Drosophila melanogaster: one gene and its partner. The gene in region 2 interacts genetically with the main gene of each other region. Each region holds a gene or a part of one and is shown on either strand. Other genes may lie near its edges.

Region 1 (12,943 bases), on a different chromosome or scaffold from region 2:
TCCTTTCATTTACATTTGAAAACATTGATTAGAATCGATTTACAAATACAGTTGTGATACTATCGCCATCATTGTAGGAGGAGTATGGAACAACTGATTGCATAACTCCAAGCATTCGATTCCACAGAATTCTCTTTGCATCTCTGCCCCAGACCAGATCGAAGTGGTTAAAGTTTTCATTCGGAACGAGATACTTTTCCACCACATTGGGCAACCTGTTGAAAAGCATGTCCACATCTTCCGGCGGAGCTATCCAATCGTTTTTGGCATAATAGATTGCCACCTTGGCCTTGACTTTCTCCAGTTCATAAGGCGGTGGGGACAGGCTGCCATAATGCAGGAAGTTCAACAGTCCGTAGTCAAACTGCTGGAATTTCCCAGAGTTCCTCAGCTGGCCGTAGTGGTGCATCTGCCTGATGGATGCACCGGCCGGAGTGTGACCCACTACGATCGGCAACATCGTTTGGTTCACTTGCTGGCCATTGAAACCGAAAAGAATAAAGAAGAGACTCTGACAGACACTGCTGGAAATGATATCCCGGCAGGCATAACGCTTGAACTGATCAATCACACTGTTGCTGGGCAGGAACTCATTGTAGCCAGCCGCGCTTAGGAAGGACTAAAACCAGATATTAGTTAAAATGTATAAAAGTGTAAACAAATCTTAAACGTACGGCAACTGCAGTATCCTGAGAGGCCAACAAATTCACAATGGGACTACGGCAATGGGACAGGAAGGCCACTGGAGCCAATGCCTGCATCATAACGATCTTTTCCATGTACTCTGGTCTTTCGCTGGCCAAAATCCAGAAGATAGTTGATCCCTGGGAGTGACCAATGTAGTGCAACTGACCGAATCCAGATTGCATCAGTATGTAATCAATGATGGCAGGCAGATCGAAAATGCCCATCTCATGGAACGAAAAGTTCCAGAAATCGGAGTCTTCGGCGGAGTAACGAACATGGCGTTTCGTATAGGTATTACCCCGCACATTGGCCATCCAGACGTCGTAGCCCTGCTCGTACAACATGTATCCTTTGGAAGAAAATCATTCTGAGTGCACTTAAAAAACGAATGAAATTCGATTGTACCTAAGGAACTGGAAGGACCCATCATCACCCAGGTATCGGAACTGTCCATTAGTCCGTGGACCAGCAGCACAGGCAGGGCTCCAGGACGTGCGATCCTGAAGAGTCCCAATAAGTAGCCATCGTCACTCTGCACTGTGTAATTCTCCGCCGGGTATCCATATTTGGAAATCAATTGTATCTGCAAAAACAGGAGAAACAAACACGGCTTAATATAACTATTCGCTAGAGATTTGCCCTTAAATACTTTGAGTGTACGTAGTATTGAGTGTACGTAGTATTTAGAATACATGAGATTATAAAACTATGACCAATCAGCGAGTAATCCGACCTTTATAGTAAGAGCTATAACCTAGAAAGCTATATATGTACTTACACTCACACAAATTGTGTCTATATCTACAGATGTTTTATAAGTCGAAATATAATGCACTATATTAATCTAGATTTTTAGATCTGGATAAACTTCCTATGCTTTATTCCAAATGTTACTAATCGTTGGAACCCGAATGATTTTTGAACTTACCGTATTCAAGTGTGCATCTTCTAAAACTGATGAAGGTATAGCCAGTTGAAAAGGATTGAAAAATGCATTGGCTTCCAGCTGGAATAGGCCCAAAAAGAAGGTCCATATAAGAAATTTCGAAGACGATGATAGAGACATCTGACTTTATTAGAGACAAACTTTACTAATCCGATGTATACAAGTTCCAAGTGGAAACTGAAGCAAGTAAAATTTTGGGATACTAAAAAAGATTGTACGTAGGCAATAAAAGTGCAACACTTTAACCTATGAATAAAATTTACATTTACCGCTTGGGTCTCAACTTAAATACTTTCGGAAATAAATATCATTCATGTAACTTAAGCAAAAAGTTTGTTGCTTAGCAAAATCGAATTAAAAGATATATACTAATTTTCATATCAAAAAATAGGAATAGAAAAGATGGGAATTAATATTAAAAATGTATTAATTGTAAGTTGTTTTTATTGGCTTTTATCGTTGTAAAATTGTTGTAAATCGTCTTAGTTTCTACTAAACAATAAATACCTAACTAATAATAATATACTGTGAATAACTAAATTATAACCATAGTTCTATTCCCCTTTAGATAATTGAATTCTCATGATTTCGCATTATTTCCAGCATTCGATCCCACAAAAGTTCCCGGGCATCGATGCCCCAAATGAAATCCAAGTGGTTGAACTCCTTGTCGTCCACCAGATATTTCTCCACGACATTGGGCAGCTTGCGGTTCAGCATTTCCACATCCTCCGGCGGAGCCAGCCAATCGTTTTGGCCATAATATAGTGCCACCTTGGCCCGAACATTCTCCAGGTGGTAGGATGGCGGGTCAATGGTTCCGTAGATCCAGTGGTTTCTGAGCCATCCGTGATCATACTGCCGGAAACCGCCAGATCTGTTGAGCTGTCCAAAATGCTGCATCTGCTTGGTGGAGGCTCCGGCCGGAGAATGACCCACGATTACCGGCAGCATAGTCTCGTTCAGCTGGAGCTTGTCGAATCCGGTGGTCAGGAAGATGACGTTTGAACAAATCTCTTTCGTAATAGTGGTCTCGTCGCAGATGATCCGGTTGAACATGCTGATGAACTCATTCTTAGGCAAAAACTCGTGAACGCCAATCAGCTTGAGGACCAACTAAAATATTAAAATAATATAAGTTAACATGAACAAATTGAATGAGAAGAGAAGGAGAAAGATGTTTTGCACTGGATCGTGTTTATAATAAACAATGATTAAATTTACATTAAATTTGGATGTATTCCACTGCAAAAACGCTCTTTGAAAGGATGGGATAATTAGGATGGGGTAACTTACGCTCACCGATAGATGCCACTCGGCCAGGAAGTTGACCACCGGACTGCGGCAGTGCTTGAGGAATGCCACCGGTGCCAATCCCTGCATCAGAATGATCTTGTCCATATACTCGGGCTTCTCGCTGGCCATGATCCAGAACACAACGGTTCCCTGGGAGTGACCAATGTAGTGCAATTGGCTTACGCCCGTGGAATTGAGGATGTAGTCCATTGTGGCGGGTATATCATGCTTTCCCATCTCGTGGAATGTAAAGTCCCAGAACTTGGCATGGTGGGTGCTATACTTAACATGCTTTCTCGAGTACGTATTGCCACGAACATTGGCCATCCAGACATCGTACCCCTGATCGTAGAGCAGGTAACCTTTGGAACAGAGCAACGCAATCAGCATGGGACATTTGGAGATAGCCTATGATCTTACCAAGTCCCTTGTTCGGTCCCATCATCACCCAAGTGGCTGAGCTATCCAGTAGTCCGTGCACCAGAAGCACTGGCGTTGCTCCCGGTCTAGCGATCCTGTGCAAGGTGAGGATGTATCCATCATCCGTCTCCAAGGTGTGATTCTCCGCCGGGTAGCCGTACTTTTTTATCAGACTGTACTGCAGAAGGGAAAAGAGACGAGGTTATTACAATTGTACTAAGAACAACAAATTTTCTAAGTGTAAGTTTCTATCAGCGTAATCGTTAATTTAACGATTAAATTGATATGTCAATTTTCAATAATGTAATTACTTTTCTTAATTATTAGGGAGAGGTACGAAAATCAAAAAGCTTCCTATACAAACGTAATATCGTAAAAATAAAGCGATGACAACATCTGACTAACTTTTAAACGTATACATTAACACATTTTAGCAGCAAATATGTACTATTACTACTAGATCTTTTATTGGCGTTAACTTTTTCCGACTATGGGTATTAACTTACGGTATTCAAGTGTGAATCCTCCTGAATATTGGGATCCACATCGTTCTCCAACCGCACATTGCTATCCACCGCCACGGATCTTCCCAAAAAAGTTGGTGTTTTGAAGTTAACATTAAAGAGGGTTATATCTCCGAGTGATAATGATATACCCTCGACGATGCCCGACTGCAGGAGGCACAAACTAAGCGCTACAATTAGCAATTTCACCGACATTATTTCACCGATTTTACGACTAATCTCAGCGGTTACACTCGTACTACTATTATAATACAATAGATATATGGGATCTATGGCTCGGCGGATGCGATCGGTGCGAGGCACAATTGTTGACTGATGGCAGTCCCGATTGACGGCAACAAAGAAACCTTCTGTGAACGCGAGAAATTCGACACTTGCCCACACGACATATGTATTTTCGAAATAATCAGCACTTCTCGTACAATACTTTCGAGGGAATTGAATCACTGGGGCACAGTGTTATAGCTACATTCAACCCACCGATAACCTGACTGCCTTCGTCACTGGCCAATCGATGATAAGCCGTGGGTCCGGCTCGCAATGGTCTTGACTTTGGAATCACTTACGCACGAGATGTCAAAGCCGCCGGCCCCCAGCGGCAACTGAAGAAGATGTTTTGTCGTTATACCGATTTTGATTTCGATTTTGATTCCACACAACCCAAGGGGATCCACCTTGGCAACATTCGCTCGGCGGGTAAACAAACAATTCAACATGTTGCCAGGCCAATTGATTCGCCCAACTTAACTCTCCGCATGAAAAAAAAAAATAATAACAACTGGTTGTTGCTCTGCTCAGCCGGAAAGAGAAAAAATGTGAAATATTATTAATTACAACCACGCGTTGTGAAAACTGTGATTCATTGCTGGCTCATTTTCCAGATGCATGCAAATCAACTAAAACTATGTAGTATCATTTTCTGACCTCAAGTTGTAATCTTCAAAACATAAATTCTGTGAAGATTAGCACGGATTTTGAACTAATCAGGCAAAGTCCATTCCCGAGACTATAAATAAATACCACCAATTAAACTATTCATCTAGCTTAGCAGACCTTTGAATACTTTACTTGAGTTGGAAAATTCATTACCACTTTCCTTGATCTCCAGCATTCTTAATTTTTTTTGATTTCATTAGTATTATATTAGTTTATTAAATTAACCTGTACATCAAGTAAATCTTTATTGTAAATTAAGATTTCAAGCCTGAACTAGAACTAATAAATAAATGTTTTAATGGGCATGTTATTAATGGGTCACTCGTCAAATTAGTTTATGTCTCCTTTAGCTTAAATTAAAAACGTAAGTGCTTTTGCGTAAATCAAATTAAATTTATTGCAGAATTTGTTTCTTCGTAATGGATTTAAAATCAAGCGGATTAAGTGATTTCTAATGAAGGTCTTTCGCCGTAATTGCAAAATAAGTTTAAGCAACAGAACTGTCTTCAAATAAGCATGCTGCCTTAATAAATAAATCAAAATTAATTTAACAAATAGCCAAAAAATCTACTTTTATATCTTAAAAAAGCTTGCACATTATTCATGAGATTGTAAATATAAACAATCAATATCAAATCTTATTTTTTGTGGGTTAAAATAGTTGAATCTTGTTAGTTGAATATAAAAGTCCACACTTTGAAAATTTCGATGAGCTTCTTTAAATTATAAATATTTAAATTAGCACGGCAGCTAGTTAAATTATTCAAATTAGTGCACACTTTTTCGAAAATATTATACCTTTTGTGCTTTGAATTTTTCATACTTGTCGTTCAATAATAACCTTCCTCATAGTGAACCCAAAGTTTTTGGTCAACAAGTTGCTCATACGCAAACTGCTGGCAAAAAAAAAATACAGACGATTACTTATTAATTATTTACCGATCAAAGTGCAATCAACGACGCCAGACGGGTGAATATGAGTGTTATTTTTGCTATTTATACACATTCATAAATTTTATCGCACTTTTGCTGAGGGCGTGGCAAGGGCACGATAACCACCGAATCCAAATCGGACACACGAATTGAAATTAATTTTGGAAATTTCGTATTTGCTAGAGGTAAACACAAATGCTGTGATAGAGATGAATTGGTCGAAAATATGGAATATAGGCTGTCCGCTTATCTCGCTGACCATTTGTGGGAGTTGAGTTAAGTAGAGCCGAGTGTTATTCAATTACTAAGTGTAGCTCATTCTGCATTTAACGAGCAAATAAACACGCACTCGCACACAGTGGCAGTATTACATGCACTCGCAGAAAATTGTCTTAATTTATTTGTATATTTTGGTAAATAACGAAATACAAAACGAAACTAAATGATTCATAATTACAAACTTATATTGAAATATTTTCAATATTTACATAAAAGTAACCATAACTATTCTTACCTTTTTGCTTTGATTTTTCTCAGTGTACATACGCAGATACAGCTACATTTTGCGGCGACAGCTACGCACTTACTTGCTATGCAAATCAGAGCGAACAATGCGCAGTTCATTAAATGGACTGCTGAGCATAAATGTATAAATTTATGCATGTTATTATCGCCCCCATCCCGCCCTTTGAACTCACCAACAATCGGACATTTGCAATGTCAGCTACAAACTGCATTATCATATGAAAAGCTATTTTCGACTCAAAACTCGTTTTGTTTCGGCAACATTTCGCAGCTGGCAACATGCTGCCATCACTAATCGAGAAATTGACCAATTCAGTGACTTTTAAAGTCAAGTTTCAAATTATCCACTGTACGATTCAAATTTTCTGGTTGCAAATATTGAAATTCCCCTGCGAAGCCCTCAAATTCGTGGTATTTTTGGGCACATTAATTTTCCGCTTGGGCATTTGAATTACTCACCACAAGCCGCAAACGATTTTCACTGCCACAAACTGACACCGATTGACTTAAAAAGTTACAGTCAAACTTTTATTAGTTCCCAAAGAGGAGGGCACAAAAGTTGGCATAGAAACTGAGAGAATCAATTGAAATCCAATCACAAATATTATTCAAAAACTATGTGAACATGAGACAGCAGAAATAGTAAGTGCAGATAATGTCTATCTAAATATTTGTGAAAAACCTAATGCGATAAGAGAATAAATGTTTCATTAAATGGGTCAGGAATTAAGTTTGCTTATTTGCAAGCAACATCGTAGAAAATATATAATAAATAGATTATAAAGAGTTTACATTTGTTAATTACGATTTATAAGAATCGAATCTTAAATTACTTAAATGTTTTCTTAGCAAATACTTAAGTGGTTCTTAAAAATGCCATTTCTTGGGCGTAAATTGTATTAATAGGACTTTTACTTTGCCAGTGGCAACAAGTTGAATTCCTTTGCCAAAATGCTAAATACTTTAACTTCAAAAGAGCCCCCTGAAGTACCAGAAAAGCACACACAAGAAATCTGTTGAATCATTGAAACTGCGACCTACTAAACACTTCGCATCGAAAGGGAGCGAAATCAATGTGCAAATCTCATAGGATGCGGGTGTTTTGGGATCCCTGGAAATGGGGGAGGGAAATGGGTACGAAGGATATGATGGGGAATTCCCTCGTCAGAAGACAAATTTCGCAAATGCCCGAGTGCCAGGCTGAGCCTGTGTAAGTGCTCAGTGTGTCAATGTGGCAAATGTATCTGTATCTTTTTGTATCTGCACCTTAGTGCTAACCCTCCGAAACACGTACGCAGTTCGTAGTACTCAGCTCGTTGCTCGGATCAATTTCCAGAATGAGATTTATGCGCTCGCCAAAAAGGGACCATAAAATATTTATTGTTTTCAAGTTGCAGGGCCCTGATAAGCGGCTGAAAAGGCAATAGCAGGCGCAGGATAAGCGAAGTCTGGCTCAAGGATAACAGAACAAAGAGCAACAGGAACAATCCTTATCCTTATCCTGTAATGCGATACCCGTTCGATTGGCGGCAAAAGAAGGGGGCTTGATATATTACCTTTAAATAGAAATGTATTTTCATGCCGAGCAAGAAATTAAAATGAGAATGGTTCTTGTTCAAGCAACTAGCTTGAAATTTAAATATATATTTCTTATATTTAAGCCTTAAAGGCACCAAATTAATTATAGAAAAATTTCAATTACATTTTGTATCCAATTTTTTCGCACATTTGCACACGTAGAATTCAATTCAAATACATTTAATTCAATGCGTCTGAGCTTAACCCTTCATTGGCCGCAACATCTGCAGCGATTTATACAAATAATTAACTGTCAACTGCAGGCACCCTACACACACGTCGGAATTTTCCGCTTTTCCAATCCATCCTGCTCAGCGACACCTTGAGGGATCAGCATCAGTCCTACACTGGAAATTATAGGCAATTCTGCTGGCTGCCGCTGCAAATGTGAGAAATGAAAAATGTAAATAAATTTTTGACGATTGTTTGGCCACTGAGAGGCGGCAGGGTGATTTATAAAAATGTGCGAGGAAAAATGATTTCTGCACGCCTCAGGGCCGCTGACAGGCCCAAACATCACCCATCACCCATCATCCACTGCCGCTGCTCCAGCTGCCAAAGTCATTAACTCGACAAACCGCCGACGTCAACCGAGCAGCTAGAGATGGCACACATATCAATATATCATTATATCATTATAAGGGATTTTCCGATTTTTGACAATGATCAATATGGTATTTATCCCTAAATATATAAATATCACCTATCTTAAGAATGTTCATGCTCTTCTATCTGATGTATTCTGTGTCCAAAAGATATTAGTCCTATACCATCTGATTTATTAAACTAATTTATTCTCCAGGTCCTAAAACATGTGATATAGTTATATTAAGAAAATAATTATCACTAAAATATGTTATGGTATAAGTTATTTTAAATACTTTCAAGCTCTTTTTAAAATGATTTTGAAATTGGCTTCTAATAGGAGACTGTTGCAAGATCTGTGTTAATGTTAATTGAATGTTAATGAGATTTGGTTGCACTGTTTTACTATATTATTATTAATATTATTGTACTACACGTAATGCCCATCTCCAGATGCGCAGCGGCAGCGACGTCGGCAGAGGCGAGTTATGTGTAAGTGGAGCGGAAGTGAACCCCACACACACACACACACACACACACACATAGGGGTCGTACTGCGAGGGGGCGGGGTAGAGGCGCGGTGAAGTGAAGGCAACTCGAAAAATGTTAAGGCATTCGTTATGTCAACAAGCAACAATGAGCAAGTGGAAGTGGAGGGAGGAAAGGAGGAAGGCAGGAGGAGGAAGGAGGCTGGCAGGGAGATCCTTGTTAGGCACATTACATCACTCATTTCGAAGCAGCCTGTGCGCCTGTCGTCCTTGCCGAAGTGCTTGTGTTTGTGATTGTAAGTCGGGAGTTTCCTAACGACCAAGTTGCCTCTGCCCCAGCATCCTTTTTTAATGAAGTGCAGCTCCTGTTTTCGCCACCGGGCCCACTTCCTTCTTCATTTTTTTTTTTCCATTCAGCTTGCAATTGCAACCAAGCGACAAATGCCCATTTGTGGTGGAGCAACCGGAGTGCTCAGGGAACCCAGAACCCAGAAAATCCGGAGGAGTGGGAAAGTCCGGGATACCGGGATCTGGAACTCCGTCGACTCGGTGGCCTTTTCTGCTTTGTGGCACGTTCACGATTCCTGTTTGCGTTTTGTTTTTCAGCCTTTTGCCGTTAAAGGTATACAAATCTCTCGCTTCGGTGAATCCCAAGTGGAAAATGCGTTAATTGGGCATTAAATGGAAAATTCGTTGACGCGGTCTATTTTTTTCTTTCCATAAAGTATAAAGTATAAGTATTTTCATTCTTTCTCATGTTTTCTCGAAGCATTTTTCAGTTTGCATTTCATGTAGGCGACTTTTATGAATTTAATAGTTATCTCTCTCTTCTGTTATATAAAATTTTGATTTTTGACTTTCATTTGCCTCTATAAATCGCTAAAATATTAAGTTTTAGTTGACAGTAAGTTCACTGCGCAGACAACCTCATCGCATCCAACTGTGCCACCTGCTGGTTCAATCAACTAATAAACTTCCCTCCGCCGACGGCGACTGCAAAGTGATTATTGATTTAATTACACATCAAAGTGGCGCAGAAGATCACGGAGCAACGATGGGTGGTAGTTGGCAATCAATGGCTATATAGAACGAGGTACGTCATCATTACCGGGAACCAGGAACCAGGAACCGGAAACCGGGCACCAAGAACTCGGGGCTGCTGCTGTCGTCACTATGCCAATGTAATAAAATGCTAATGAATTAATTTTCGCAGGAACCTTGCAATAAAGTTGACTTCCCCTGCCATTTTGCCGCACTTAACTGCTGCTGATATTTAACATTTACGTTGGCCCGAAGACATGAAGGCGAGTGCATTAAAATTTAACGAACTCCTATTAGGCGGGGCTGCAAAATGAATTATGCATTTAATATTATTATTAAACATTTTACTAGACCATCAAAGACGGCTGCAAATATTTGATGTTGTTAAATTTTAATCATCTCATCTCTCCCGGCCGCTGTTTGCACAAGGGAGCAATTCGAAATGAAAACGCTCCCTAAATAGTTGCATTAAACAAATATTTCGGATGGCAGAAAAGGAGTCGGCGGAAGTAGGCAAAAGCAATTTCCTAGTCACAGATTTGATTTTGTTTGTCGAAGCGGTGCGGCATAAAATCGTTTGCCAAACGCCAAATGCCAAAGCGCCCAGCTACAGATGATGCGGTATCTGTGCGATACAGTATCTGCGAGATACATTCGGCTAATGAAATGCACGCTCCGCCATTTCCATTCCCATTCCCCTCCGGAAAACTGGGCAAATAATCAACTCCGGAGCGGGCACAACAATAAGGACCACAGACGAACCGAGCTGCCTAAGAGCTCGTAAAAAAAAAAACTCACCGCACGATAAAAATCAAAGGGAAATATCTGCCAACTTGAGTTCAATTCGATGGTCAAGGAACTAGACTCGACTGTAGGATACCCAATATGCTGTAAATTGGCCAATCAAGTGTAAAAATGTACTGAGTAAGTTATTTTAAATAATAAATTAAAACATGCAAATAGGAGTATACATTATTATATTATTATGTTCTTATCTAGGTGATAAGGAAACATTTGTATTATTATATTTTATCATAATATATAGATTTTCATAGATCTTAGATTTAAAATGGCCTAATCTACCCTTTCGACTTCCGGAATACCCTAGCGGAGAGCCCGCCTCTGCTGACCGCAAAGCAAAACTTTTTGCGTCAGATTTATGCGGCAATATTTTGCTTTGAAATCGCTTCGTGTGGCCAACACGCAGTGCCACCCCCCGCCCACTGCCCACCGCCCACTGCCAAACCACCCAACTATTCAGTGGAGCACAAAGACAAACACAAATACAACCTGTGGCATTCATTCGCCTGCCTGAGTTTCGGTTAAACGAGAGTTCTATTTACATTTTGCGCTCGAACGCATTTCATCTTTATCTTTTATGGCAAGCCGAATGGAATCGAGGGGATGAGCATCTAAATTTTAAATTGAAAATTGATTTTCCCCCCATTCCTTGCTGTTTGTCTAGCATTTGATTTTTCCCATCTAACACTGCGCGGATTGGTCAGTTTTTTTTTATTTATTTTTTTGCGATTGATTCCGTCTTTGGGCTGCGGGTTAGATGGAAGCGGAATTCTCTACGAGATGCCGAATCCGAGGGGTTGGGGATTCGTCGGGGGTCGATTTGCCAACATAAGTGCGCGCCTCAGTGACTTTCGATTCCATATTCAAGGATTGCCCACTCTGATTAATTTTTTCTGGTATCGTAAATATGGAAAATGCAAGGCAAATGATAACCCCAATCCGAGAGGCCTTCGCATTGGAAAAGATTGGATTTCTTAACTGATTTCAGATATATATGAATGTAAAAAACAAGGTTTTCCCTTTTCTCTGCACTTTTCCGATGTTTTGCTTGCTTGCTTAAAAGTACATACTTTTACTTTTAAAAAGTAGTTCGTATTAACCAACTTTTCGTTCTTAAAATGCAGACGTTTAACTTTCAGCTAACAACTTGTCCTATATCATTTATTCATTTTCCTACCCATTTTGTCCAGTAACTTAAGATCCCAGTCTATAGGCATTCCTTCAGTCTCTCCACAAGGTAAGTCAACTTTTTCCAACCCTCTTCCGAAAATTCTACGAGTGAGCTTATTGATTTTCTGTGGGTCTTATCTAAATTTGCTGTAACAGTTAGCGGGTAAATTTGAAATATTATTAAGACAAATATACAGGGAGTGCAGGAATGGGAGTCTTTGGCTCATGGAAGGCGGTCATAAGCCTATGAAAACGTTTTTATTAGATCCCTGCACGCGCCCCCAAAAAGAAGAGTGAGGGGGGAAAACCGAGGAAATCGAGGGGGTCGCCAACAGTTTCGCGTGTGTTTGCACTTTTCCGGCCGCTTTTCCAGCTTTCCATGGGGGATGTTGGTATTGTGTTAAAGAAATTGATAGCCGGCGACAAATCATACCTTGAGAGAAGGTCGAAGAACTGGAGGCCTGCACTTGGGGTGGCTTGTGGCTCCACGGATTATTTGGGCCGTAATGTGGTGTTGCTACTTTGTTGTTGCACAATTTGCCGGCCTGCTAATAAAATTTGATAAGCCAAAGTGGAGCAGCAGAGCGCCAGACGAGTCAAATAAAATGTTTACCCGCTGCACGCAAATTGGGGATAAATTTTATGTAATGCAGGGGGAGTGACATCCAGACTATCCACCCCAGATTCACCCTGGAGTTGCCCCCCCAAAAAAAAAAACACCCGGCAATTGCAAAGTTAATTTGCGCATAAAAATGTTGCCAGGGGAGTCATCTCTGGCCTCCTTCGAGGATTAGCCATAAAAGTGGTTCGCCAGTTTCATTTTTTTTTTTTTTTTGTTTTTGTCCGTCCCTTTGATTTATGCCAATGTGTTTTGATTTGCGCCATTTCATTCTATTCTATTTGATGATACCCTGGCCATTACCATTTTCGGTTTGATGCATGCGAAATGCATTTTTGATGACAGTTAATGGAGTTTTTACTGTCCCACTCCCCCTCCCCACCAACGTGGACTT
Region 2 (12,943 bases):
GGAAATTTCCATTGCTTGTCTCAAGCTCGCACTTCTCAACACGTCCCAAATTCACTAGTTCTAAAAGTATCCTTTTCAGTATGCACACACCCTCCCCCAAAAACTATTGATAATCTCCTCCCAATTGTTGACCTTTGACGAAGCCGTAAAGAAACTGCAAGGCAAGGCAATCTAATCGAAAACTTCTCTAATTCTCTCTCTCGCACACACACACACACACTCACACACAGACCACATGGCGTATGCGCAATATTTGCAATGGCCACTGACGCCGCTTCGTTTATTATTTTGTTTACACTTCGTTTTTGTTTTGTTTTGTTTCGGTTTCGGTTGGCGTTTGCGAAGCTCAGTTAGCAACTTGGACTATAGATTCTCGATACCCTTGATAGTTCAGTCAGCGTTTTAAAGGCGGAAATATTATATAGAAAACATACGTCAATAACCGAAGTAATATTAAATTTCGTTTAAACGTCGCCAGAGAACTTTGCCAGCTCTAAACAAACAAACTCTATTCCCAGTACGAAAAAAATTAAATTAAATAAACAATCAATTGCAGTCAATAAAACACGGTTTCAACTGATTCTCGGCTTGTACGCCCATTTTTTGTTTTTTTTTTTTTTTTGTTTTTTTTTTGCATTCTCATGGTTCTTTTGGCTTTTGTTTTACCATCGAAGGTTAATTCAATTACATGGCGTACGGGAGCATCAGCCCACAACGGACTATCGATTGAACGACCTGTGCCAGTGGGGCCGAGTAATTAATTTGTCCAATAATTCGGGTTTATCTTTTGTCATAAACAAATTGATGGAGCCTGTCGTCAATCGCGTGACACGTTTTTGTAGCATACTCTAGTATAACCTATTTCTGCATTTGCTTATCATAAAACATACCATTGACCGGTTTTTTTTTTTTTTGTGGAATATTGATTGGTATTATTATACATACATATGTATTCCTTATCTCGACTCTGGTCAAGAAGATCAATGTGGACCGGCTAAATGCAGCGGTTTCATCAACCTTGGCCGGATGCATTTTGGCATTAAATCATGCATTTTTGAATAGATTGCCGGGGCTGTAGGAAAACACTTTCACCGCTAGCCGCCGTGACATTGTTAGCATGCCGGGAAATCTTGGGAAAAATCGAAGGGAGGGTGTGTGGGGGATGGTGGAAAAAAGGTGTGCTGGGCAAGACAGTTGGCAATGGGCCAGAAAAACCGCCGCATTGCCAACAACTACTAGCAACAGTTCAGCCAGCAGCTGTTTCTTTGGCCGACCGTCAAATAGAATTTCAGCCAGAATTCATTTCGTTTTCCTTTGTTTTTTACGTATTTTTATCTCTTTCCTCGTCCGCAAGTCAGACGACAGACTCATGTGAGTCGAAATGTAAAACGAAAAATACAAAAAAAAAAAATAAATAAAGCATGAAAACGAAAAACAGTCGTACTTCTCTAATTGAAATCACCAGTTTCACACTTTTTTGGATTTTGTTTATTTTCCTAAATGTTTGATTAGAACATTCTTTTTCGCTTTTATTATTCGCTTATCGTACGGATTTCGTAGATTAAACATAATCAAATTTAAAGCCATGTTATAAAATTGAAAACCTGGACCTATCTAGATTAATTACTTTGTTTCAAAGATCATGTATTCTAAAAAGGTAGTTTAGTTTACTATTAAGGAAATATATCGTGCTATATATAGAAGCCGTACTGTAGGTACAAAAAACTGTTGCCAATTGTCTCCCACTAAGCTTATCTCAGTCTGGGCGGAATCTAAATCGCTTTCGCTTAGTTTCTGTTGGTTCCACTTGATTTATACGCTCCTTATCACTATTAACTCGGGCCCCTTCCTTTCAAAAGCTCGCTGATACGACAACGACCTCACAAGACAAGCACGCAAATTCCTTATCGATCAAACTTTAGAGTCGAAAATGGAAAACAAAAAAAAAACGCTTAGTAATTGACATTTTCAGTGGGTGGTTGGTTGGGTTCAAGGGAGGGGGTGGTGTATAGAACAGTTTAGAATTGCGTGTGGCAAAACCTTCGAAATTGGAAATTAGAGCCTCACTTTGGGGTTATTGAAAAATTATTATGAACTGCCACTGAAATTGTTCTTGGCCTGTGGCGAAGGTCGTTTGGGGGTTTTCTTAGTTGGCGGCCATAAAAAACATTAGATACTTGTACATTTTATGACCTCTGTATTGATTACTTAATTGTTTGAGGGTTGCAATAAAATTATTATACAGCATTACTAATAAATAAAAAAACTCTTATTAAGCTTGCGAAGTGATAAGTTAAAAATAAAGAACAATCACGTGTGACCCAAACAAAGGGGTATCGCCAGTTTTTATAGTTCTTAAATGGTATTTTTCTCTATTTCTCTCTTCTCTTGTTATGCTCATATCTTCCATTATCAGCGAATTAGGCAAAAAGAAATTGGTGTCAGTCTTAATATTACCTCTCATTCGTTTAAAATTTCGCGATGTCATCTTGGCGCCCTTCAATTGAGCATAATCTAGACTAAAAACTTGATCTCTAGCCCTGTCGCCCCACCAAACACAACAACAATAGCGAGTAGAAATACAACAACAGAATCATTATCATCAACGCCGTGCGTTCGCTATTATCAACAAAAGTAATCAAGACAAAGTATGAAAAATATAAAAGCAAAAGTTCAACCGTTACACCAGCCGCAACAATAACAACAACACCTAGTGTAAATTGGAGCAAAAAGAGCGCATTTAACGGTCAACATGATTTTCTGACCGCTGCTTCTAGAGAATGCCAGAGAGTGATAGAATGGGATAAACAACAAAAACAAAGCCGACAAGTGCAAACAGAAATATTGTAGCAACAACAACAGTGGAGCAACAACCACTATGCACACGTGGGGGTCTGACACTTAGTCTGAGAGCAAGAGAGAGAGAGCGGGAGAATGGGCTCCAAAGAGAGTCCAAATGCCCACCATGCGGGGGCGTCGCTGCCGCAGTCGACGTTGCAACGTATGCCGACTCTTGTGTGGCGCTCAAGCTCCCCTTTCGCTCTCACCCTAAGAGAGCGTTCTCTTACTCTCCGTTCAGTCAGCAAATGAAAAACGTGACAGAGTCATGTTGTGGTTCTCTACTCGCAGGCATTTGGTACCCTCCTTTAGTCGGGTATGTCGACTATAAAAGCGAGTAAGCCAAATTGGGTCTCAACTTTCGGTAATGGTAAAGAATTATTAGAAAGTTAAAAACTGGAACCTGGAAAATAATGCATTTTTAGAGATAAGACTATGTCTAACTCTATAACCAAGAAACTTTTTTCACAAAATATTTATTACGATTTATTCGTCGAACGTCGTACTTTCTTCAATTGGTTCTTAGGATCATAAAATATCAAGCTATAAGAAATCAGACTGTAAACAATTGTAAGTTGACACGACTCCTATTACCTTGTACAGCATAACACCTGGAACAGGGCATCCTAGCCTCGACTCTGCTCCGCCTTTAGTTCTTTCCGCTGCCGCGTACCTTGGTGTGCGTGCGAGTGAGTGCGAGCATAACAAAAACACACGCACACCGACGGAGCGCGTATCATGTCAGAAAGCTTAGCGCGTATTATAACCTCTATTTTCGTTTCGGTTTTCTTCCGTTTGCCTCGTTTGTTTCTTTCACCTTTTCACCTCCTCTAATTGTTTGCTTATGGGGCTTTTGTTTAATTTTATTAAAATTGGAAAAAACCGATGGAAAGTTGACACCAAATAAACTGAAAAGGGTGCTTGCTAGTGGGTGGGGTAAAAACTATGGGCGCCTTTATTTGTTATTTATTGTTGTTGTTGCATCAGCAGCTGACTGGCTGGTTTTGCGCCTGTGTGAGTGCGTGCGAGAGAGAGGGAAGCAAAAAGCGTGCAAGCCGCAAGTTTAGACATACACACACACGCACACACAGCTGCTAATTTAATTAAAAATATATAATAAAAATCATTTTCGGTTTCTTTGCATTTCTTGTCTAGGAAGATTTAAAAAAATTTAATTTAAATTTTGTGAAAATTGCACGCGACATTGGCCAAGCTTCACGTGTATGTTGGTGTGTGTGTTACTCTCACTCATACCAGCACAACGCCACTAAACACACACAAACACACAGACGCACGGCTATAGCGACAAAGACGGTGTACAGTCCACTTGTTAAATCAATAAAAATAAAAAGAAATCAAGCCAAAGGCAGGCCACAAAAATTCAGGAAAAATCATTCAGTTTTAGGTAATCACAAATTCCCATAGATTCCCATTGTTGATTGTGGCAGCGAAACGCCAGCAACCTTCAGCGAATGTCAAGGACCTTTTGAGCACATGTGTTTGCAGACCAAACACTTTTTCGTCAAACTCAATTAGCGCACTTTAAAAACACATTTGTCCGTTGTCGTTAAACACTTGTTGGTGGTCACACACGCAATTTGCGAAGGAAATTCTCCTGCAGGACTACTCACCAGGTCTCCAAGTTGCTGAACTTCTTCGTAACCACCTTGCCGAGATCGATTCCCAGGCGATCGACTATCCGCTGGGCCAAATCCGGATGCGAGGTGCCCGAAAACACTTTGATGTTCGGCATTCTGGAGTGGATTAAATTTAGACAACCAGCCTGTTTCTCCAAATTGTCTCGGATCAAACTTCTAGCGCGTATCGGATTAGCAGAGCGAACTGGCATCACACAATCTATGAGTAGAAGTTTTTATTATAAATTTTTTTCGCCAAAACGCGGGCAGCGACGTCGACGTCGTCGCCTTATCGGTGAGAAAGCAAGAGCGTAAAAGAGAGCAACGAAGCTTTTTGCTGCGCACTGCGCTCTCTTTCGCTCGCTCTTTCTGTAAAGCCACCCCAATTATCCCCCATTCCCATCCAGACCATGTGATTTTTCTACGCGTTCTCCAGGGAACTGGAAAGCTATCGATTTCGATTCCGGACTACTAAAGCGGTGCGATAGGTTTTTATAATTTTAAATATTTTCATTAATCAATTCGAATTTCCTAGTGTGTTTCTCAGTATAAATCTAAACAAGTTAATGGGATTGCACTATTACAATATTAGCCTTTCAAAAAGCAAGGATTTACCTATTTCATTGCAAATAATTTTATATTTATAATATTTTGGCTCGGTTTGCTATTAAATTTACATATGAACATGAAAAAGAATAAATATAAATTGCAAATTGACACTGATTATATTCGATAGATAAACAGCTTGTTGTCACACCCGTAAAATCTATGAGTTTTCTTTTAACATATAAAATATGCTGGCATGCCAACAGGCGCGCGCCAAAAAAAAAGCTTTTAAGGCTGAGGTAAACAGCTGTTCCACGGATGTCCCTCAGTTGGCCATGAAAACCTAGCACCACACACACACACGCGGACAGAAATGAAAGGAATGTGAATTCTAGGATATAATCTACGCACCATTCTGCTCGTTCTCCGTGCATTTCTTATCGGGCATTATTCACAAAACAAATCCCGAGATGAAGGTTCTGCGACAGGTAAGCGCCGACTATTTGATTGAACAACCCGTTTAATAACAAGACGCACTCAGCTGTTCTGCGCCAGGTAAGGTGAAAAGTGCACTGTTTCAGCGACAATGGGAGATTGGGATTAGCAGCCGCAGAGCGCCGCATCTGGCGAAATTGAGCGAGCGAATGGAACTGAGCGCCGTACAACATGGCGTATGCTTCTATTACACATACGCACCGGCTGCCCACACACACACACACCCATATTTTACGAGAGAGCGCAAGAGAGCGCCAAGGATGGGATGATGCGCAGTTAAGTTGATGCCACAAGGAAAAGCTTTCGGGACGCACTTTTCCTCTCTTTTTCGGAATCAGCTGTTTTCGATAGGTAATTTCCATAGAATTTTTAATACGTCATGTTGCAATTTTAGATATGTAAAACGTCACACAGAGCGAAAATTTCAATAATAAGTATTAATTTTTTTTATAAAATAATCACAGACCTCATTTCTAAAGTAAGACAAAATTGCGGCTTAGTTTCATTACATCTGCACAACTCAGTAATTTCTTAATAACACACAGATATGCAATAAAATTGTTTCATATATATTTCAATGGGTAATAAATTTCCAAGGCCCCATAAGACTGTCAATATATTTTCCTATTCATAATAACATAAAAAAACCCTAAATATCTGAGACAATAATAAACATTTAATGCTGCGTTTCCCACTTTTAAAACCTATATGCATGCGGCTCTTTTTGTGCACATACTTAGAAATTTATTTTTTGTCTGTGTATCTGTGCTGTATGCCGCTTTCAATTGGTTCTGGATAATTGTTGCTCTGCAAATATCTCTGCTATGTACTTTGTACATACCAGCAGAAATGTTTTGTTTTCTAGATCTCAAATCCGAGGTACAGTTCTTGCTTTTTCATTTCACGGGGGCTCGTCTTTGCTTTTGTTGCCCCCGAGATGTTTTCTTGTTGTTTGTGCAACTGTACCTGGGATGCTGAACAAACGAACGCGGCAGAAAAACACTGCGATTTGTTAAATTGTTATTTTCGTGCCCATGGCTAAATATAAATGAACTAATGCCAAATGCTGACGTACTCTTCTCCGTGTTTTATCCCTAAAAACTGACGCAAATGGCATTGCAAGTACAGGAATAATGGAGCCGTGGATAGCGGGTTGGTGGGGCAAAAACCACGTGCCGAATGCGACGCATGTTTTGAGTCGAGGCGAAAACAAAGGCACGCACACTTCAAAATCGAGTAGTACACCATACTGGACTTACTTGAAACATGTGAGGTAGCAAAGTGTCGCAATTACTTTTAAACTACAAACTATTAATCACTGAACGATGCGGTTTGTACAAGTTGGTCGAAAAAAACTTGTACTTTGTGATTTCACTTGGATGCAGCCGCTGCTCAGAAAATGCAAAAGCTGAATGAATCAGAACGCTTTTGAATTGAATTTAAGCGAGGGAAGTTGAGTTTCTGTTTATGGAGTTGTTTGGTGCGAGAGAGCAAGAGATAACGCAGAGGAGAGTTGATTTAATCAAGCTGAAGCATGGATACCCTTACGTTACAAGACAATAAATGTATCTTTTGGTTATCTGGTTATTTTATGGGGTAGGAAACGCATCCCTCTTCACACAGTCATAATACATATGCTTCGAAAGGGAATATCGGGGAGAGTAAAAGAGAACCGGCATATTTGTTTGTGTCGGTCACTCGTTTTGTTTTGTGGCGAAAGAGCGCCACAAAAGGGGAGCACAAACACGTGTGTCCAAAGAGTTGGAGAAGCAAGAAGCTCTTCCGTTTTAATTAGTCTCCGAATGTCTATTGGGTATATTTCTTATCCGAAAACTGTTGTTGCGTTGGCTCTCAAAACTTCCCCACACGCTTTTGCTGACACGTTTTTTTCTCGATCGCCATTGAGCTGTGCGAAACGTGAATTTGAGCAGTAAAAGAGAATGTCGACTTTAATGATTTTTCAGGTATGAAATATGCCCTCTAATTTTTTTGATCATATTTTTATTTTGTTAACATTCAACTTATTAATAAGAGTTTGCTGAAAATGTAATCCACTTAATTGTTTATCACTTAAAAATTTTTTAGGTAAAGTTCTCTCATATTGATTTAAAATTGCAATGTGAATAAAGTAACACTTCGTGTACCCCTTTTCCAAGTATAACCATTATAAACACAGGATCGTATGGCGCATAATTAATGGCTGTCTATTATTTTTGGACTGTTGCCAAGAGAGACCTACGCCTTAGAAGATTAAACTTCTTGTTTTTGTTTATGGGGCGCAAAACAAGTTTCAAATTTCCGACCGCAGACAAGGCGGGCGAGCGTAATGGAACCATATTACTGAGGTCAAAAGAACTTCGATTATATAATAAGGCCATGTATTCAGTATTCAAGATCAGAGACGCAATGGAAAATAACCTTTGACGTGTGCCAAGGAAAAGCTGCGGCTTTTTTATCCAATGGTACAAAAACCAACTTTGGAATTGATTCAGCCAATCATTGTAACGTAAATAGATTTTATCAACAAAGAGGTAAGAATGAGTACTTCGTGTATGGGGCTTAGCTGAATTTATTAGGAAAGTAGTTTGTAAATATGGTTATTTTTATGTAGATTTTGCTTTTGTTTCTTTTCATTTGTATTATCGAAACGAGTTAGGAAAATGTGTCGGTTAAGATTCCCAGATTCTGATATGTCGCCTTCAGGGAAACAAAGTCATCATGTCATCCAGTGGACATAATTGGAGGACCAATGTTAAGAAGAAGACTCCTCCTTAAAATGTTTAATAGGTTTTAATATGATTAAATAGTTATGAGTTGAGTGAAGTGGGTGTACCTGGGTAGTATTAAGGGCGTATCTAGGCAATATATGGCTCGCAGCAAGTAGCACCAATTCATTACGTCCCTATGTAATAGTTATTTATTCATATGCTAAACATTTGAACATTCGAACTTCGTTAGCAATTTTCGCGCTCTTTCCCCGAAGCCCTATCGATACGTCAATCGATAGGCGAGCTTTCAGAATTATCCGAATGCACCGCGGCGGTCACACTACGGAAAAACAAAAAAGAAATAGCGCTGGCAAAATAGACGTGCTGAGCGCTGTAAAAAGTCAGATTCGTGTTGAAATTGGAATAATAAGTTTTTTATTTTCCGTGCGCTGGTCGAGCTCGTTGCTTCGACAATTCGAAAAGCGATCGAAAGGAGCAACCTTGTAGGCCAACAGCCAGGCGTAATTTACGCAACGCACAACACTCACAAAATCCAAAATTGCACGGGGGGGCAACAATAAAAACAGAGGCAGAACAGAACACAGCAAGAAGAGCGTGGTGAAGAGGAGCGGCGGAGAAAGGAGAACGGTGAACAGGGAACAGGGAGAGAGCAGAAAGGAGAGTCCGAGAAACGGAGGAAACATCATGGCGAACATGGCAGTGTCGCGGATCAAGCGGGAGTTCAAGGAGGTGATGCGCAGCGAGGAGGTGAGTCCCGAGCTCCAAGGCCGAAGGACACTCAAACGGCACCTCGGCAATGCCAGCTGCACCACCGCCCCTGGTCGTGGTGCAGGGGGCGGGGGAGGGTGTCCGCGAACGTTGGTGGCGTTTTTGGCGCGCTTATGGGCTCCGTTTTCTTTGTGAAATGTAAACATTGGCCCCACTGATTTGTTAATTTGGCTTGTAATCCCTGAACAGATCGTCCAGTGTTCCATCAAAATCGAACTGGTCAATGACAGTTGGACGGAGCTGCGCGGCGAGATCGCCGGTCCGCCTGACACGCCCTACGAGGGCGGCAAGTTCGTCCTGGAGATCAAGGTGCCCGAGACATATCCCTTCAATCCACCAAAGGTACGTAATAGCCATGTCAGACTTTGTGCACCTATACAATATGCTAGCTTAGAAATAAACAACTCTTACATGAGTACACCTCATCTTTCAAAAATCGTATCTTATGACTTCACTTCGTAGAAAGTGACACTTCTATGAATCCACAATGTTAACTTGAATTCTGAAAGGCGCAATAAGAACCTGTAACTTGTAATTGAAACCTAAATAAATTGCAAACTTCTTCGCAGGTACGCTTCATAACGCGCATCTGGCATCCGAATATATCGTCGGTTACGGGTGCGATTTGCTTGGACATCTTAAAGGACAACTGGGCTGCAGCGATGACACTGCGCACCGTACTGCTGTCGCTGCAGGCGCTCCTGGCCGCCGCAGAGCCGGACGATCCACAGGACGCAGTGGTGGCCTATCAGTTTAAGGACAAGTACGATCTGTTCCTGCTTACGGCCAAGCACTGGACCAACGCGTATGCGGGCGGACCGCACACCTTTCCCGATTGTGATTCAAAGATCCAACGTCTCAGGGACATGGGCATCGACGAGCATGAGGCGCGCGCCGTGCTCTCCAAGGAGAATTGGAATTTGGAGAAGGCCACCGAGGGCCTGTTCAGTTAGCTTGTCCCAGCCGCACTAGCATCAGTACCATTCGCGGCGGTGGCAGCACCAAGAACACCGGCCAACTTCAGCATCAATCCTTCAGAACGGCAATCACGCTAAATTCTTGTACACTCACGCACCAATATATTTTCGTAAATCTTATCCACGAAATTACATTGCCCTGTAGTTATAATAATTCTCTGATCTGTTCTATAATTTTATTATGATTAATGTGCACATCTTTGCCGCTGGGTGGGTCACCAGAAGGTTGAGCCAAAGGCCATGCCCGCGCCCCATTGAGCATGTGGTGTTATGTAATTGAACCCAGGTTCTGTTTCATTAATTTACGTGCAGTCGCATTTACTTGCAGGCTCTTTCTTAAACAGTACTGTTGTTTTCCATTTCAAGCTTAAACTAAAACACAAACAAAAATGATTTACAAAACAAAATAAATGTGAAGGCGAGGAGTGTATAACAAATCGAAGTCTTTGTAAATTGCGTTAAGTTAATAAATAAATAAATAAAAATATTAATAAATGTCTAATGAGAAGTTATGATTTCGGTTTGTGAAGAAGAGGCTGCAAACTTAAAATAGATTTTTGTAAATCATGCCTAGACTGAAGAATGGAAAATGTAATTTACCCTAGATTGATTGAGATATGTAATGTATATTACTATAATTCTTGTTTAATCCATTTTTTAAGGCTCTGTCTAATGCCAAAATTGAAATAAAATCCAAATTCTTGGTGATTTACAAACCAAATAATTGCACAAAACGTGAAAGTAAAATAGAACCCATCGATATCATCCAGATATAATCATTTATATATATATTCTTCTACATATTCATTTAATTTTTCTACATTTCAATGTGAATATTTATGGTTTGCACTAAATATTTGACTAATAATCTGTCACTAAATATTTGGTCTACGATGCTTGCTGGCGAATCCAATAAGTTAATGACTTCACACATATAATACGAATTTCTACTTGTGCTTTTGCTTGGACATGACGGACACGGAGGAGCCACCAGTTGCAAGTGCGGATCCCAGGCAGCTGCTGTTGCTTTGAGCCACGGATGTGCCAGTGGCATTGGTTCCCTGGATCGTGTGATGGCTGTGACGTTGCTTGAGCATCTCCTTCCATTCGGACTCGAGTCGCACGTAGGAGCCACCAAGCGGTTGGGCATTCTGCACCAGACACTGATCCGTTCCGGTCTTTTTGGTCACATAATTGGCGACCTGTTTCATGATCTTCTCCTCGAAGTCGCGCTGATGATCCTGGTTGCTGCGCGCTGACAACTCGCCGGACCAAAAACGACCCGACACATCGGTGGGACTGGCCAAACAGTTCCAGGTAATTATTATTTCATATACATTCAATATTTCAAAATCCTTACCGCTTTCGTGATTTTTTGCCTCTAGTTTTCCTTGGTGGAGGACGATGCTCCGACTCGCAGCCATCGCTACTCGTACTGTAGTCCTCGTCGTCATCGTGAACGTTACGCATGCGTGGCCGCAGGCATCGAGCATCATCCTCGCTGGTGGACGTCGTCTCCGAATCGGTGCTGGTGTCCATTTGATAGCGAGATCCTCGCATCCGACGGCTCACACGATGGTTGGTCACTATGGAGCAGGGTTGAGTACGGAGCACATTACCTTCAAGCACACATACCCACCTCTCTTGAGCACACTGTCCATGCAGAGTTGGGGCAAAAGTCCCTGGCGACATCTTTGTGGCGTTAGGGAGATACCCTGCCAACTGGGACTGATCTCGCCGGCGGCGGCCAATTCCTGAATCCTCAATGGTGGCTGCTCGCACAAGGCGTAGTTCTCGCCCACCAACTGAGCAATGGCCAGGATGGCACGCTCCCTATCCGTCTCCACCAGGACACTGTGCTCGCGAAATTGGCAGCCCTAAAAAAGTAACGAATATTCAATGCAGTAGTATTAGTTTCTGGAAATATATATACATACATTTGGTCCCGGCAGCGTTTCGTAGCGGAATGCCTGCTGACCGCAGCAGGAGAAGCGGCCGGCGGGTCCAGCATTGCCCACGGGACCGAGGAAGTTGGGTGCCTCCGGATGGAAGCGACACCAGTGCATCTGATAGACCGGAAAATGAGCCTCGCACGAGCAGCAGTACAGGTAATGGCAGTGACCCCATAACTTCCAGTACACCTTGCGCCAAGACTTGAGCTCCTTGAAGAGCTGAACGATGTAGACATTAAGATCCCAGTTCGTGTCCCGCACGTGGTGGCTCATCAATTGGCCCCAGCGATTCAGTCGAATGTTGCTGGGCACACAGCTCACATAGGATTTCATAGTGTTGGTCACGCAATTGAAGCACCTGGAGCAACGGAACAGACCGGACATGCTGTAGAAGTGTCCCCTTAGCGCTTCCGGATCCGGTTCGCAGAGGGACTGAATCAATTTGGTCCACAGACGTGGTGTCACTCGCTCCTTTTTATCCCTGACCATTTCCAGCTCGAGATTCGTGAACATGGCCGCCAGTCGGCTGACCAATGCATCATTCAGACAGGACAGATTCGTGGATGTTCGTACAACTTCGCTGAGATGGGCATGACAAAAGGCCAAACACTCAAGGAGTAGAGGTTCCATCTGCAGAAAGCTGGCCGACACCAGAATGGGCACCACATTGTTGCCATCCAACTGGGGACCGGTGCTCTGAGTGGGAACCGGAAGATCCTGGCTTTGGGCACTGTGCTTGATCCACTTCATCAGCCAATCGAAGATAAGGATGTCGCAGTGCACCGATATGTCCATCTCCTCCAATCTCTGACCGGCAGTCACGTCCGCAAAGTAACCCATTTTGGTCACCAGCAAATGCTGCGGGCAGGTGAAGTCCTTCGAGGTGTTCTTCACCTCGTCGCAGACGTGGATCACCACTTCCGGCCTGTTAAACAATTTGAGTTACATATATATCCTGTAAATACATGGTACTTACTCCTTTCGCTCCTGCCTGGCATGTT

Evidence for each region.
Region 1: of Prps (region 2) and Lip4, changing one suppresses a phenotype caused by changing the other (phenotypic suppression), as found in Drosophila melanogaster (one study listed by BioGRID).

What each region holds. Positions count from the first base shown.
Region 1 is NT_033779.5:10,520,662-10,533,604, reverse strand, and holds Lip4 (lipase 4), read right to left. Parts: upstream 6,034-12,943; 5' UTR 5,816-6,033; coding exon 5,749-5,815; intron 4,478-5,748; exon of another isoform or gene 4,069-4,477; coding exon of another isoform or gene 4,044-4,068; coding exon 3,856-4,043; intron 3,528-3,855; coding exon 3,350-3,527; intron 3,292-3,349; coding exon 2,930-3,291; intron 2,750-2,929; coding exon 2,198-2,749; 3' UTR 1,827-2,197; downstream 1-1,826. Other genes in the region: CG18301 (uncharacterized protein), read right to left, coding at 29-619, 675-1,036, 1,093-1,270, 1,616-1,753.
Region 2 is NT_037436.4:9,689,764-9,702,706, forward strand, and holds the start of Prps (phosphoribosyl pyrophosphate synthetase), read right to left. Parts: upstream 5,679-12,943; 5' UTR 5,470-5,678; coding exon 5,433-5,469; exon of another isoform or gene 5,280-5,432; intron 4,943-5,279; exon of another isoform or gene 4,696-4,942; coding exon 4,470-4,695; exon of another isoform or gene 4,058-4,469; intron 1-4,057. Other genes in the region: Ubc4 (ubiquitin conjugating enzyme 4), read left to right, coding at 8,930-8,992, 9,203-9,355, 9,583-9,966; CG6761 (uncharacterized protein), read right to left, coding at 10,938-11,289, 11,351-11,576, 11,630-11,867, 11,928-12,867, 12,919-12,943.